Caenorhabditis elegans: one gene and its partners. The protein of the gene in region 2 interacts with the protein of the main gene of each other region in a pairwise test. Each region holds a gene or a part of one and is shown on either strand. Other genes may lie near its edges.

Region 1 (3,753 bases), on a different chromosome or scaffold from region 2:
CCTAAGTCTAAGCCTAAGCCTAAGTCTAAGCTTAATCCTACGCCCAAGCATGAGCCTAAGCCTGTATTTGGTAAAAAAAGCTAGTATGAACCTTTCAGATTTTTTAATTTCTCTCAAAAATTGGCAAATATTGAATTTTGAAATTCGTGCGAAAACTTTAAAATTTTCGATCAATTTAGTTATCCGAAAAAATTATACCTTCAAAAAAATTAAATTTTAACTTTCGCGCTAAAATATTTTTCGGTCATGACGTCATTTCTCTTCCACCTCCCCTAAACTTCAGGTTCCGTAGTTGCCGGAGTCGTTGGCTTAACCATGCCTAGATACTGCCTATTTGGAGATGCAGTTAACACAGCAAGCAGGATGGAGAGTAATGGAAAACGTAGGTTTTGCTACGTGGCCGTGAAAAATGAGAAACTCGGCCACCAATTTTTTTTCAGCCGGCAGAATCCACGTATCATCGGAGGCAAATCATCTGCTAACACACGTGGTTGGAGGGTTCCGAACCGAAGAAAGAGGCGAGGTGATAATTAAGGGAAAAGGTGTTATGAATACGTATTGGCTGCTGGGAGAAAACGATTCGGTGCCTGTCAAGTCTAATATGAGGAAACGGGAAAATACTCCGTCGATGGCGAGAAGTATTACACCGGAAATTTGATTTTTTTAATTTCATTTTGGATTTTTAAAATAAAGGTTTTTTTAACTGTAGATACTGTAGAGGTACTGTAGAGGCATTGTAGGGTTACTGTAGAGGTACTGTAGGGTTACTGTAGGGATATAGTATGGTTAGAACCACATCAGTGCAGGGGTATGTGATGGGGGATATGGTTACTGTTGGATACTGTAGGGTTACGGTAGGGTTACCGAAAGGGTACTGTAGTATTACGCTAGGGAATTCTGTAGGGGTACTGGGGGGTTACTGTAAGTTCACTGTATAGCTACTGTAGGGTTACTGTAGGGAAAGATTTGGGGTAATGTAGGATAACTATAGAGTTACGGTAGAGGTATTATAGAGTTATGTTAGGGAGCACTGAAGGGGTACTGTAGAATTGCTGTTGGGTTACTGTATAGGTACTTTTAGATTACTGTCAGAGTGATGTGTGGTTACTGTAGGGTTATTGTAAAAGTACTGTAGGATTGGTGTGGGTTACGGTAGGAAATACTGTAGAGTGGGAACTTTGAGTTGACGCCTCCCGTTGAGGTCCTCTATGATCACTGTTTAGTTACTGTACGGGTACCGTAGGGTTACTGTAAGACTTCTGTGAAAATATCGTGAAGTTATGTCATAGATGGGCTTCTGTAAGGATACTGCGGGGGTCTTTGAAAAAATGGGTACAGAAAAATGGTAATTTTCAGCTTACTGTATGGTTACTGTAAGATTTATTGTAGAATCAAAACTTGCATAGGCTTTGAGGGTACTGTACAAATTACTAATAACAACTCAGGCTGCTCATATATGGAAGTATAGAAGATGGGAAACCAGCACAGCAAAATTTTGATTTTTTGAAATTTTCTGAGCAGAAGCTGGAAAATTTCAATTCCGAGACGTCCATCTGATGACGAATCGTCTGAAATTTCAATTCAATAGCATCAATTACTCATAAATTTTCAATTTTTCTTCATGCCCAATACATTTTTCAAACAATTGTCTTTTGTTCAATTTGTGTGCTATAAAACCTTCTCGAGCTATCACCAAAATTCATTCAATCATCGAAAAATGCTCTTCTTCCTCATTTTTCTGGGTCTGATGGCCACTGCTTCAGCAAAAGGTAAGACTTTTTAGATTTTTATTTGAAAAAAAACTTTTCAGCGGGCCGCTGCAACGAAGGTGACCAGGACGCTCATTTTGATTCGAACAAATTCTGGAAATGTGAGGGTGGGCGGTGGATTGTTGTAACTTGTCAGATTAACTATTTTTATGATGCTACAGTAAGTATTTTATTCTGGGGCTTTGGCCTAGGTGTAGGTTTGGGGCTTAGGCTTAGGCTTAGGCTTATGCTTAGGCTCAGCCTGGGAGTAGGGTATCTTCAACTAAACGTTGTCAGAAGATTCGCCAGTTTTTCTAAAACATTTTTTTTCAAAAAATGCACAAAATTCCGATTTTCCAGAATTTTTTAAAAATCCCGAAAAAATGTATTCATGGTGCATCGACTTTTTTTTTTGAAATTTCACCGGAAAATGTAGAGTTTTCGTGAACAATTCTAGAAAAACAGGCTTTCAGAATTTGCAGATAAATAGTGCAAAAAATTAGATTTTTATGGGTAGTTCTAGAAAAACGGGCGGTAAAGAAAATTCATACATTAAAAAAAAGAGCCTGAAAATATAGAAATTTGTGCTTTTTTGTTGGAAATTTGTCAGCCAAATCTGAATTTTTTGCATTTTCTATTCAAAAAGTGCAGAAAATTTCGATTTTTTAGCTTTTAAATTTTTTATTAAATCATGGTGCATTGACTCGGAATTTTTTGAAAATTCACGGAAAAATGTAGAGTTTTCGAGTAAAATTCTAGGAAAACAGGTCTGCATAATTGGTAGATAATTTGTGCAAAAAAATTAGATTTTTATGGATAATTCAGGAAAATCATTTTCTCTGAAAACTAAAAAAAAATAGTTTTTATTAATCACGGGGTTCTGGCCTTCCTCATTGAATTTTTCGCGCTCCATTGACAATCGCCTGCCGGACTGGGAAAGTCGTGTACTCCACACGGACAAATACATTTAGTTTTACAATTAAAATCGAGCCGCGACGCGACACGTAACGCGCCGTAAATCTACCCCAGATATGGCCGAGCCAAAATGGCCTAGTTCGGCAAAAACTCTTCCATTTCAATTTATGAGGGAAGCCAGAAATCCGTGATTAATCATGGTGCATCGAAAAATTTTAATTTGAAAATTCGCCAAAATTCGCTAAAAATTTGAATTTTCAGAGAAAACTTCAGAAATTCACAGATTTTTTCTCAAAAATGTTTCACCAGATTTTCTAAAACTTTTTTTTTTTCACTTTCGCGTCAAATTTTCTGAAAATGCAACTTCTACCCAAGGCTCACATTGAGGCTCCGCCTATAAAATGGTTCAAAATTTCCAGACTGGCTTCTGCTACCTGTCCCGATTCCCAACTACCCGTCCTTACCCACCACCATTCCCGACTCGCCCCCGACCAACTCAGGGCCACCGCTGCTACCCTGGCACTAGAATCCCGTACCCACATGACCATACCATGTTCCTCGAGTGTTCAACTGATGGAACAGAGTATATTAAAAGATATTGCCAGCCTGATGCGGTTTTCGTGCAACGGGAGAACATGTGTGTGGCCATTCAGACCACGTACCGCCCGACGAGAACATGGCCGACGACTACAACTACTCCATACTATGGTGCATGCAAGGAATCTGCCGGTCATGATGGGTATAAGCCGGATGTTTACAATTGCAAGAATTTCTATCAGTGTGCTTCAGGTAAGAGGCTCCTACAGTACCCTCAAAGCCTATTCGGTACTCTTACAGTAATCTTAGAGTAGCATCAATTTTGGTTCTACAGTAAATCTTACAGTAACCCTACAGTAAGCTGAAAATTACCATTTTTCTTACCGTTTTTTAAGGCTTCTGCAGTATCTTTACAGAAATCTTACAGTAACCCTACTAACTATAGGTATAACGGCAAATTTGTTGTCGACAATTCGTCAAATTTTGTCGGTTTCCCGGAAATGTTATTTTCGGCAATTTGCAGGTTTGTAGGAAATTTTCAATTCTGGCCTTT
Region 2 (3,753 bases):
CCAGGAACATGATTTGAAGGCTAGAAAACTAATTCTCTAAGTTTCCCCGGCTCGAAAAAAATTCGTTCAATATTTATTTTCCATCACTTTGCATAATTTACAGTACTCACCAGGCCAGCGAAATTCATGAAATTGTACAATTTTCTTGTTGTTTTTCCAACAAAATTTAAAAATAACCCGGACTAGTCGAAAACAAGGCAGTCGTGGGGTACTGTAAATTAGGCGGCCTACCAAGTTGAGCCTTCGCCAAGTAATCCTCTATTTCCCTGTCACAACCGATAATGGGGCAATGTCTTGGAACCCTGTGCACTGTAGATTCAGCTACAGATAATATTTCCAGCGTCTATCAGCTGGCAGGCCCAGTTGCGGTGAAAGAGAGCCCACGTATTGCTGAACGGGACCCAAAGGTAATATTTTTCGTTTTTTTTTCAGAGTCTTATGTTTTCAATCTTTTTTGCTGAGAAACCTTCGAAAAAAAAAACAAATCTAAGCTTAAGTCTAAACCTAAGCCTATGCCTGGAGACACAAGCCTAAGCCTACGCATAAGCCTAGGCCTAAACCTAAGCCTACACCTAAGCTTAAGCCTAAAGGTTAGCCTAAGACTAAGCTCACACCTAAGCCTAAGACTCAGCCAAAGCCTAAGACTCAGCCTAGGCCTCAGCCAAAGCCTACGCCTAAGTCTATGCCAATTTCTAAGTCTATGCCTTTGACAATACCTAAACGTATGCCTATACCTAAGCTCAAGAAATTTTCAGGTCAAAATCTCTGTGAATCCCGAGGAGGAAAATGTTGAACGCCCCTGTGTACTTTACTCGAAAAGTAACGAGATTATCAAAAAACCGGATATTTTTGAGGTGAGAATATTCTTAATCACGGGCACGGATTTTCTCAAATTTATAAATTTTTAGGAAATCTACAAGCGCACACCGATCACCCTCTCGAATAACGGTAGAATTGACGTTGCCGAGGTTTTTTAAACATATTTTTTTCAAAATTACATTTATCAAGAACTGAATTAATGAATTCAGCTTCCCGCCGGACAACGAGTCATTGAAGTAGAGAACAACGAGGTTCGCGACAAGTATAAAAAAACGTTGTACGAGATTCGGAGAAAATGCAGGGAACTTCAGAATTTGGGTGCTGAGGATGAGGTAGGCGGCCTTCAATGGCGTTTGAGTTAACTCAAGAAAAATCTGCGATTTTTCCAGGAAACCGGTGAAATCATCGATACTCTTCTTATTCTTTACAAGGACTTCTTCTTACTAACCACGTGGAAAATCGATAAGTACGCCCAGTTGAGAAAAAATGCCGCAGTTCAAGCTTACAACTCGCTACCCAAGCTTAGAGCCGACCCCGCTGAATTCCGATGCCACGTGGAGTTTCAGTATCGCGTGGCAAATGAGCTATGGGAGCATTTCAAGGAGACATATATCCACAAATATGAAGCATGTAATTGGGCGGAGAGGGCGAAAGTGAAGGAATGGGATCTTTTGGACAGCCAAGTACAGACGCCGAATGTGGAGTGGGATTATCTTGGCGCGCATGGATATATATGAATAATTGATTTTTATTTTAAATTTTTGATCCATTTTTGATTTGATAAAAATGTTATTAATACAATACAATGCGAATTAAATTAATATTTCGCGCGAGAAACGCGCCAACGCACCGAAAGTGCGCAAACGAGAAGCTTTGCGCGTTTCTGGTGCAGAAAATTCTGCATTATTTTTTTGTTGATTTTTCCTCATTTTGTGTTGAAATCCATTGTTTTTTCTCGGTTTTTCTCTGATTTTTATGTTAAAAACAATTATTGAAATGTCAGATCAACCCAGCTGTCCCACCGAAGCCGGTAGTGGTTTTAAAACTGGAAAAATACATGGAAAAAGTAAACGAGGAGCGGGATGCGGTTTTCGAGGTAGAAAACGGGATTTTATATATTTAATGCTAGTTAGAAAAATGTATATTCCAGGATCACATCGGCGATCGCCGTCGAAGTGTCCGGTCACTTCTGGAGGAGGCATTTGCAGATGAAATGGAGAAAACTAGCTATGACGTCGAGGTTGCCGACACTCCACAACCGCATATTCCAATACGTTTCCGTCATCCACCAATCGCCGGACCAGTTCATGATGTTTTCGGAGACGCGATTCACGACATTTTCCAGAAAATGATGAAAAGAGGCCAGGCGGTCGACTTTTGTCACTGGGTGTCTCACTTGATCGCCACAGAAATTGACGAGAAATTCAGTGAAGTTGCGTTCAGAGATGTTCAGTATAATCCTGATATTTATGTTACCGATAGTACCACAGGTAATTATTAAATGTGCAAAATCTGCTATTAATTTAGCAGACCAAGCATGGGCCTGCTAAATATTCAGCAGGCCTATCCCCATTGGTCTGCTAAATATTTAGCATACCTAACTTGGGTCTGCTAAATATTTAGCAGACCCATCCCCATTGGTCTGCTAATTATTTAGCAGACCAACTATGGGTCTGCTAATTATTTAGCAGACCACCTATGGGTCTGCTAAATATTTAGCATACCTACCATGAGTCTGCTAAATATTTAGCAGACCTATCCTCATTGGTCTGCTAAATATTTTTAGCTGGCCATTCCCCATTGATCTGCTAATTTTTGCAAAAATAAAACTTGTTAAATAGAATTTTTAAAAAATCTTCAAAAACTCAACACTTCTGTTCATCAATACAACTTATTTTCAGAAGCCAAAAAGCTATTCAACGACAAAATTTGGCCGGCGATCGACAAGATTCTCCAGCAAAACGCCGAAACGTGCCCGATTCTGTCTGAAAAGTGGTCTGGAATCCACGTGTCGGGCGATCAACTGAAAGGGCAACGTCACAAGCAAGAAGATCGGTTTTTGGCGTATCCTAATGGGCAATATATGGATCGTGGAGAGGTTTAGGAGGATTTTAGGCCTGGAAAATTACTGAAAAATGAAATTTTTAGGATCCAATTTCGGTGTTAGCGGTGTTCGATGGTCACGGTGGTCACGAGTGCTCTCAGTACGCAGCCGGGCACCTTTGGGAGACATGGTTGGAGGTTCGAAAATCGCGAGATCCTTCAGATAGCCTCGAAGATCAGCTTCGCAAGTCGCTGGAGCTTCTCGACGAACGAATGACTGTCAGAAGTGTGAAAGAGTGTTGGAAGGGTGGAAGTACAGCTGTCTGCTGTGCAATCGACATGGATCAGAAGCTTATGGCGCTGGCGTGGCTCGGTGACTCACCCGGATACGTCATGTCGAACATTGAATTCCGTCAGTTGACACGTGGACACTCGCCATCCGATGAACGGGAAGCTCGGCGTGTTGAGGAAGCTGGCGGCCAGCTTTTTGTGATTGGAGGCGAATTGCGGGTGAACGGAGTTCTAAATCTCACCCGAGCACTCGGAGATGTTCCTGGACGGCCGATGATCTCTAATGAACCGGAAACGTGTCAGGTGCCTATTGAAAGCTCGGATTATCTGGTGCTCCTGGCTTGTGATGGAATTTCTGATGTTTTCAACGAGCGTGACCTGTACCAGTTGGTGGAGGCATTTGCGAATGATTATCCTGTTGAAGGTTAATAAAAATTCTTGGAGAAAAACTAAATTTCCAAAGCCAAAAACTATTTTTTCGTTTTTTTTTTCTGAAAAAAAATCAGAAGATTGGCTATTTTTCGGGGGTTTTCAAAAAAAAAAGTAAAGATTTTCGAATTATTGTATTTTTAAAAAAGAAAATCGGGTAATTTACTAAAA
Region 3 (3,753 bases), on a different chromosome or scaffold from region 2:
TGCGTCTCAAATTTTGCGCACTTTCATATATTTTCTTAGCATTTCTTCACTTTCTAATAACATCTGGCGATCCCGATTTTCATAAGTTTCTCCACTTTTATTTCTAATATTTGGTCTCTACCGCTTTGAAAATATGGAGAAGTTCATAGTAAGTCTGAAAAGCTAGGATCTACGTTTTTCACGTGGTTTTCCAAATCAAAAAAATTTAGGATTTACTAGAGTTTGGCTCAGCGGAGCAGAAACGAAAAATGGGTCGACCATCAAAGATCCCTCCTTTCTCACATTATGACGCGTATAGAAGATCTGACATCGACTTTTTCATATCATTGTTTTCTGGAAGAGAAGAATTATACAGTCCGTGCAAGAAGAATAGTGATTTTCGACAGAAAGCGTTTTATATTATAGAGAAAAAATGTGGACATTTTCTTGCAATGAGGAAAGGTTAGTTTTTAGTTTTGAAAATGTGATTTACGAAAAGAGAAAGACTGTTTTTGATTTGGACTGTAAACATGTGAACAGGAATAAACATGTTTATGAACACCACATCAACTTACAGGTAGAAACGCCGAAAAGTTATGGTTATACCTATTCAATGATTTTGAAAAAATGATTAGAAATGGTGGTGATAAGAATGATGAGAAGTCCAAGTCTATAGTTCCGTTCTACGATTGTCTACAATTCCTTATTCCTTATTTGGAAAAAACAGACAGGTATGAAATGATCTAGATTTCCGAAACGGAAACCTTTTTCCAGCTTGTCAAAATTGACATTAACGACTTGCAATGCAGAAGCCGATGATCAACAAGTAAAAGCAAAAAAGCCAAAGATTGAGCATGAGCTATCAGAAGACAAGTTGAATGGTCTGAACTGTGATTTAAAGTGTATGTAAATTACAAGTAATTTTTCAGATGACTGGCTTCAAAAAGTTATAGATACGGTTACATGTCAGCAATCTACAAGTTGTACAAGTATACAATTGAATTCTTCGGCTCCTTCAACCTGCTCTGCAAAAACACCTAACTCAACAGCAAATCTACCAACTTCTGAAAAACACGCAGACATCATAGCCTATGTAACAAACTTTTTAGAAGATGTGCCAAACGACAAGTTGATGCTTCACAAAGTTCGATTATTCCAGTTTATCGAAGAAGAAAAGTCTAGGTTGAAAGAAGAAAGTAAATAAATTGAAAGGAATGATAAAAAAGAGTATAGATTGGAAGTGATAGTCTATGACTAGAAAGCGAGACACTCTTGTTTGTTTATTCATGATCATGGTCTCTCCTATATGAAACCACTGAATTTTTGATCGCAAATACTTTTTTCATGGAATGAACAGGTTACTACGAAATGCTCCGAATATCTTCTGATTGTGTGATCTATATAAGAAACATTAGTGAGCATATAAAAACGGTATCTTAGTTATTGAAAAATTTACTTGAATGCTAAACTGGGCTTATACTTTCGACTGACTTTCATCGTACACTATGGAATTGATATCTAAAAAATAAGATGACGTGGTGGTTGGTTAACCAACCATGTTAACCAACCAACCATGTACAACTAATCAAAAAGTAAACGTATAATACCCGATCGCAACGAAACAACTTTCGTGTTTATCAGGTCACCTGCTGAGAAACTTGCCAAATTTTTCAGTGTTTCACTACCTTTTGGGTCGACCGACATCTGCGCGGCACTCGTTGCTGGTTGTTTCGAATTCGAATTCGCCGTGTTCCCCATCACAGTCAAGTAATGATGGGGAAACCGATGAGATAACGAATACACCGTTCAAAAGGTAAAGGTCACGTTTTCGATCGAATTTTGCGATCAAATTGAAAAAAATAAGAAGAAGAAGAGATGGCAGAACATACACGTGATGAATTCAAAAAGGCAGAAAAATAGAAAAAAAAAGAGTATAAACACCACTTTATGAATAAAGCCATGCCAGTTTCTAATAGCAACGAAGGGAAAACAACGAGAAAATGGATAGAGGAAAAAGGGAAAAGGAGAAGGTGTAATTATAGAATCGATTTGACTGGGAAGCAGCGGCGACTCGTAGATTTACAATAGTAAGATGTAGAGAAACGAGACTCTTTTTTTAATCTCAAAAATATGTATTTAATTATACATCTTGAAAATTTTGCAGATTTTTTTAGAGTTAGCCTACAGTACTCGGTCTCGAAACGGCCAAAACTATTTAAATACCGTATCCGCAAGTATTTGTTTTTAATTTTTCATGATCTCCTACAATTTTCCAAAAATGTATCGGTTTTTCCTTTAAAAATGTGGAATTTTAAGTGAAACTATTACAACAGATACAGGTGAAAATTGCGAAACACTTTTGGGTGCGGTAGCTGAAAAGTTTCCATCGTGCCGAGACCGGCTACCGTATTTTCGCATTGAAAATCTCAAACTTCTGCAAATGGGTAGTACCAAAATTGTGTCTCGAAAATGATAAAATATGCCAGAATCGAATCAAAAATGATTCCTAAGTCAACGTTTGAGCCCTCTTATGACATTTTCAGACGATGACAACTAGAATAAACTGTCATTTGACAGATGACTAATGGATACAAAGAGCCTTTTTGCCAAAAGTGTGTCACCATTTTCGAAATAAAATTCTCATTTTTCTCTATACTTTGTTCAGAAATCTACAATGATGTTTACGTAATACAAATGTGACGTCAATTCTATACAGATGAAAAAGTGATTTCGCAATGTGTATTGCTAACTGTTGGAGGTATTCCATTCGCTGGCCGAAAATAACGATGAGCATGAACATGAATTTGTTTGTGTCTTCTTCGTTTATTCATGAATCAAAAATTTGAAAGTAATAGCAAAAAAATATCAAAATCCGAGAGAAAACATGATTTTCTGGGAGGGGAGAAGAGCAACTTCGTAGACAATAGTTTGAATAGAAGTCACTACTCGGAACCGTCATACGAGAAAAATGAGAAGAAAATGTGAAGGAAATACAGAATTATTACAGAAAATGAGAAGATTTTTTTAAAGGGGCTTTGGGTTTCCATTAGAAGTATGAAATTTCCATTGTACAAGTATACACATTCGTCGGCGGATAATACATGACACTTTATTCCTTCTTTTCGACCTCTCCTCCATACACACTTTCGTCACTGTAGGCGATGTAAAGGAACAAGTCTTCCTCGTGATGGTCCTGTAATAAAGAAAAGGGTTAATTAAATGAAAATAAACGACTGGTTAGTTACCTGGTAGAGTTGTCCCATTGTGGTCATGGTTTGTGGAATGACATTGTTGACAAAGAAGAACAGAGCATCTTCTGGACGAAGTTGGATGCGTTTTCTGATGAGGAAGTAGAACTGTCCAACAGTAAGATCGGATGGGACCAAGTACTTCTTCTTATCCAAGTCATGGAGCTTTGACTTTGGTGCTTTCTCAACAATCACTGGAATACGGTCTGGGTACTTTCTGCGGATCTTGTCTCCTTCGGCACGACGCTTCTCAAAGTTGTTCTCCTCCTTGTAAGCCCACTTCATTTTGATTCGAAGGTTAGTGTGAAGAGAAGGTTACTGGAATAAAAATACTTTAAATCACAGAAAAATCATAAAAGAACCATGAGAGAAGAAAGGTGTAACAAGTGAGAGTGAATGAAGGTGACATCACATGGGTTTTGAGAGATTGACCGATTCGATAACACATTGCGAAATCTATATAAAATTGACGACGAGTACTAGTAAGGCAAAAAGAGCATGAGCAAGAATGGCCCGTGTGCAAGTG

Evidence for each region.
Region 1: the proteins of fem-2 (region 2) and ule-1 interact in a two-hybrid assay, tested with the Caenorhabditis elegans proteins (one large-scale study listed by BioGRID).
Region 3: the proteins of fem-2 (region 2) and C32D5.8 interact in a two-hybrid assay, tested with the Caenorhabditis elegans proteins (one large-scale study listed by BioGRID).

What each region holds. Positions count from the first base shown.
Region 1 is NC_003279.8:2,220,258-2,224,010, reverse strand, and holds the start of ule-1 (Chitin-binding type-2 domain-containing protein), read left to right. Parts: upstream 1-1,697; 5' UTR 1,698-1,717; coding exon 1,718-1,769; intron 1,770-1,810; coding exon 1,811-1,929; intron 1,930-3,082; coding exon 3,083-3,452; intron 3,453-3,753. Other genes in the region: Receptor-type guanylate cyclase gcy-17, read left to right, coding at 284-382, 441-658.
Region 2 is NC_003281.10:632,696-636,448, reverse strand, and holds the start of fem-2 (Protein phosphatase fem-2), read left to right. Parts: upstream 1-1,822; 5' UTR 1,823-1,876; coding exon 1,877-1,915; intron 1,916-1,969; coding exon 1,970-2,309; intron 2,310-2,720; coding exon 2,721-2,917; intron 2,918-2,967; coding exon 2,968-3,577; intron 3,578-3,753. Other genes in the region: eakr-4 (EAK-4 Related), read left to right, coding at 282-407, 756-854, 909-968, 1,029-1,151, 1,209-1,556. UniProt on the Caenorhabditis elegans protein: Dephosphorylates auto-phosphorylated Ca(2+)/calmodulin-dependent protein kinase unc-43/CAMKII in vitro. Involved in the regulation of sex determination.
Region 3 is NC_003280.10:6,344,175-6,347,927, forward strand, and holds the start of C32D5.8 (protein-disulfide reductase), read right to left. Parts: upstream 1,749-3,753; 5' UTR 1,738-1,748; coding exon 1,665-1,737; intron 1,342-1,664; exon of another isoform or gene 1,184-1,341; coding exon of another isoform or gene 909-1,183; intron 861-908; coding exon of another isoform or gene 754-860; intron 711-753; coding exon of another isoform or gene 557-710; intron 442-556; coding exon of another isoform or gene 210-441; intron 149-209; coding exon of another isoform or gene 134-148; exon of another isoform or gene 1-133. Other genes in the region: txt-18 (transcellular chaperone signaling (x)cross tissue), read left to right, coding at 134-148, 210-441, 557-710, 754-860, 909-1,183; Protein lgg-1, read right to left, coding at 3,089-3,172, 3,225-3,512.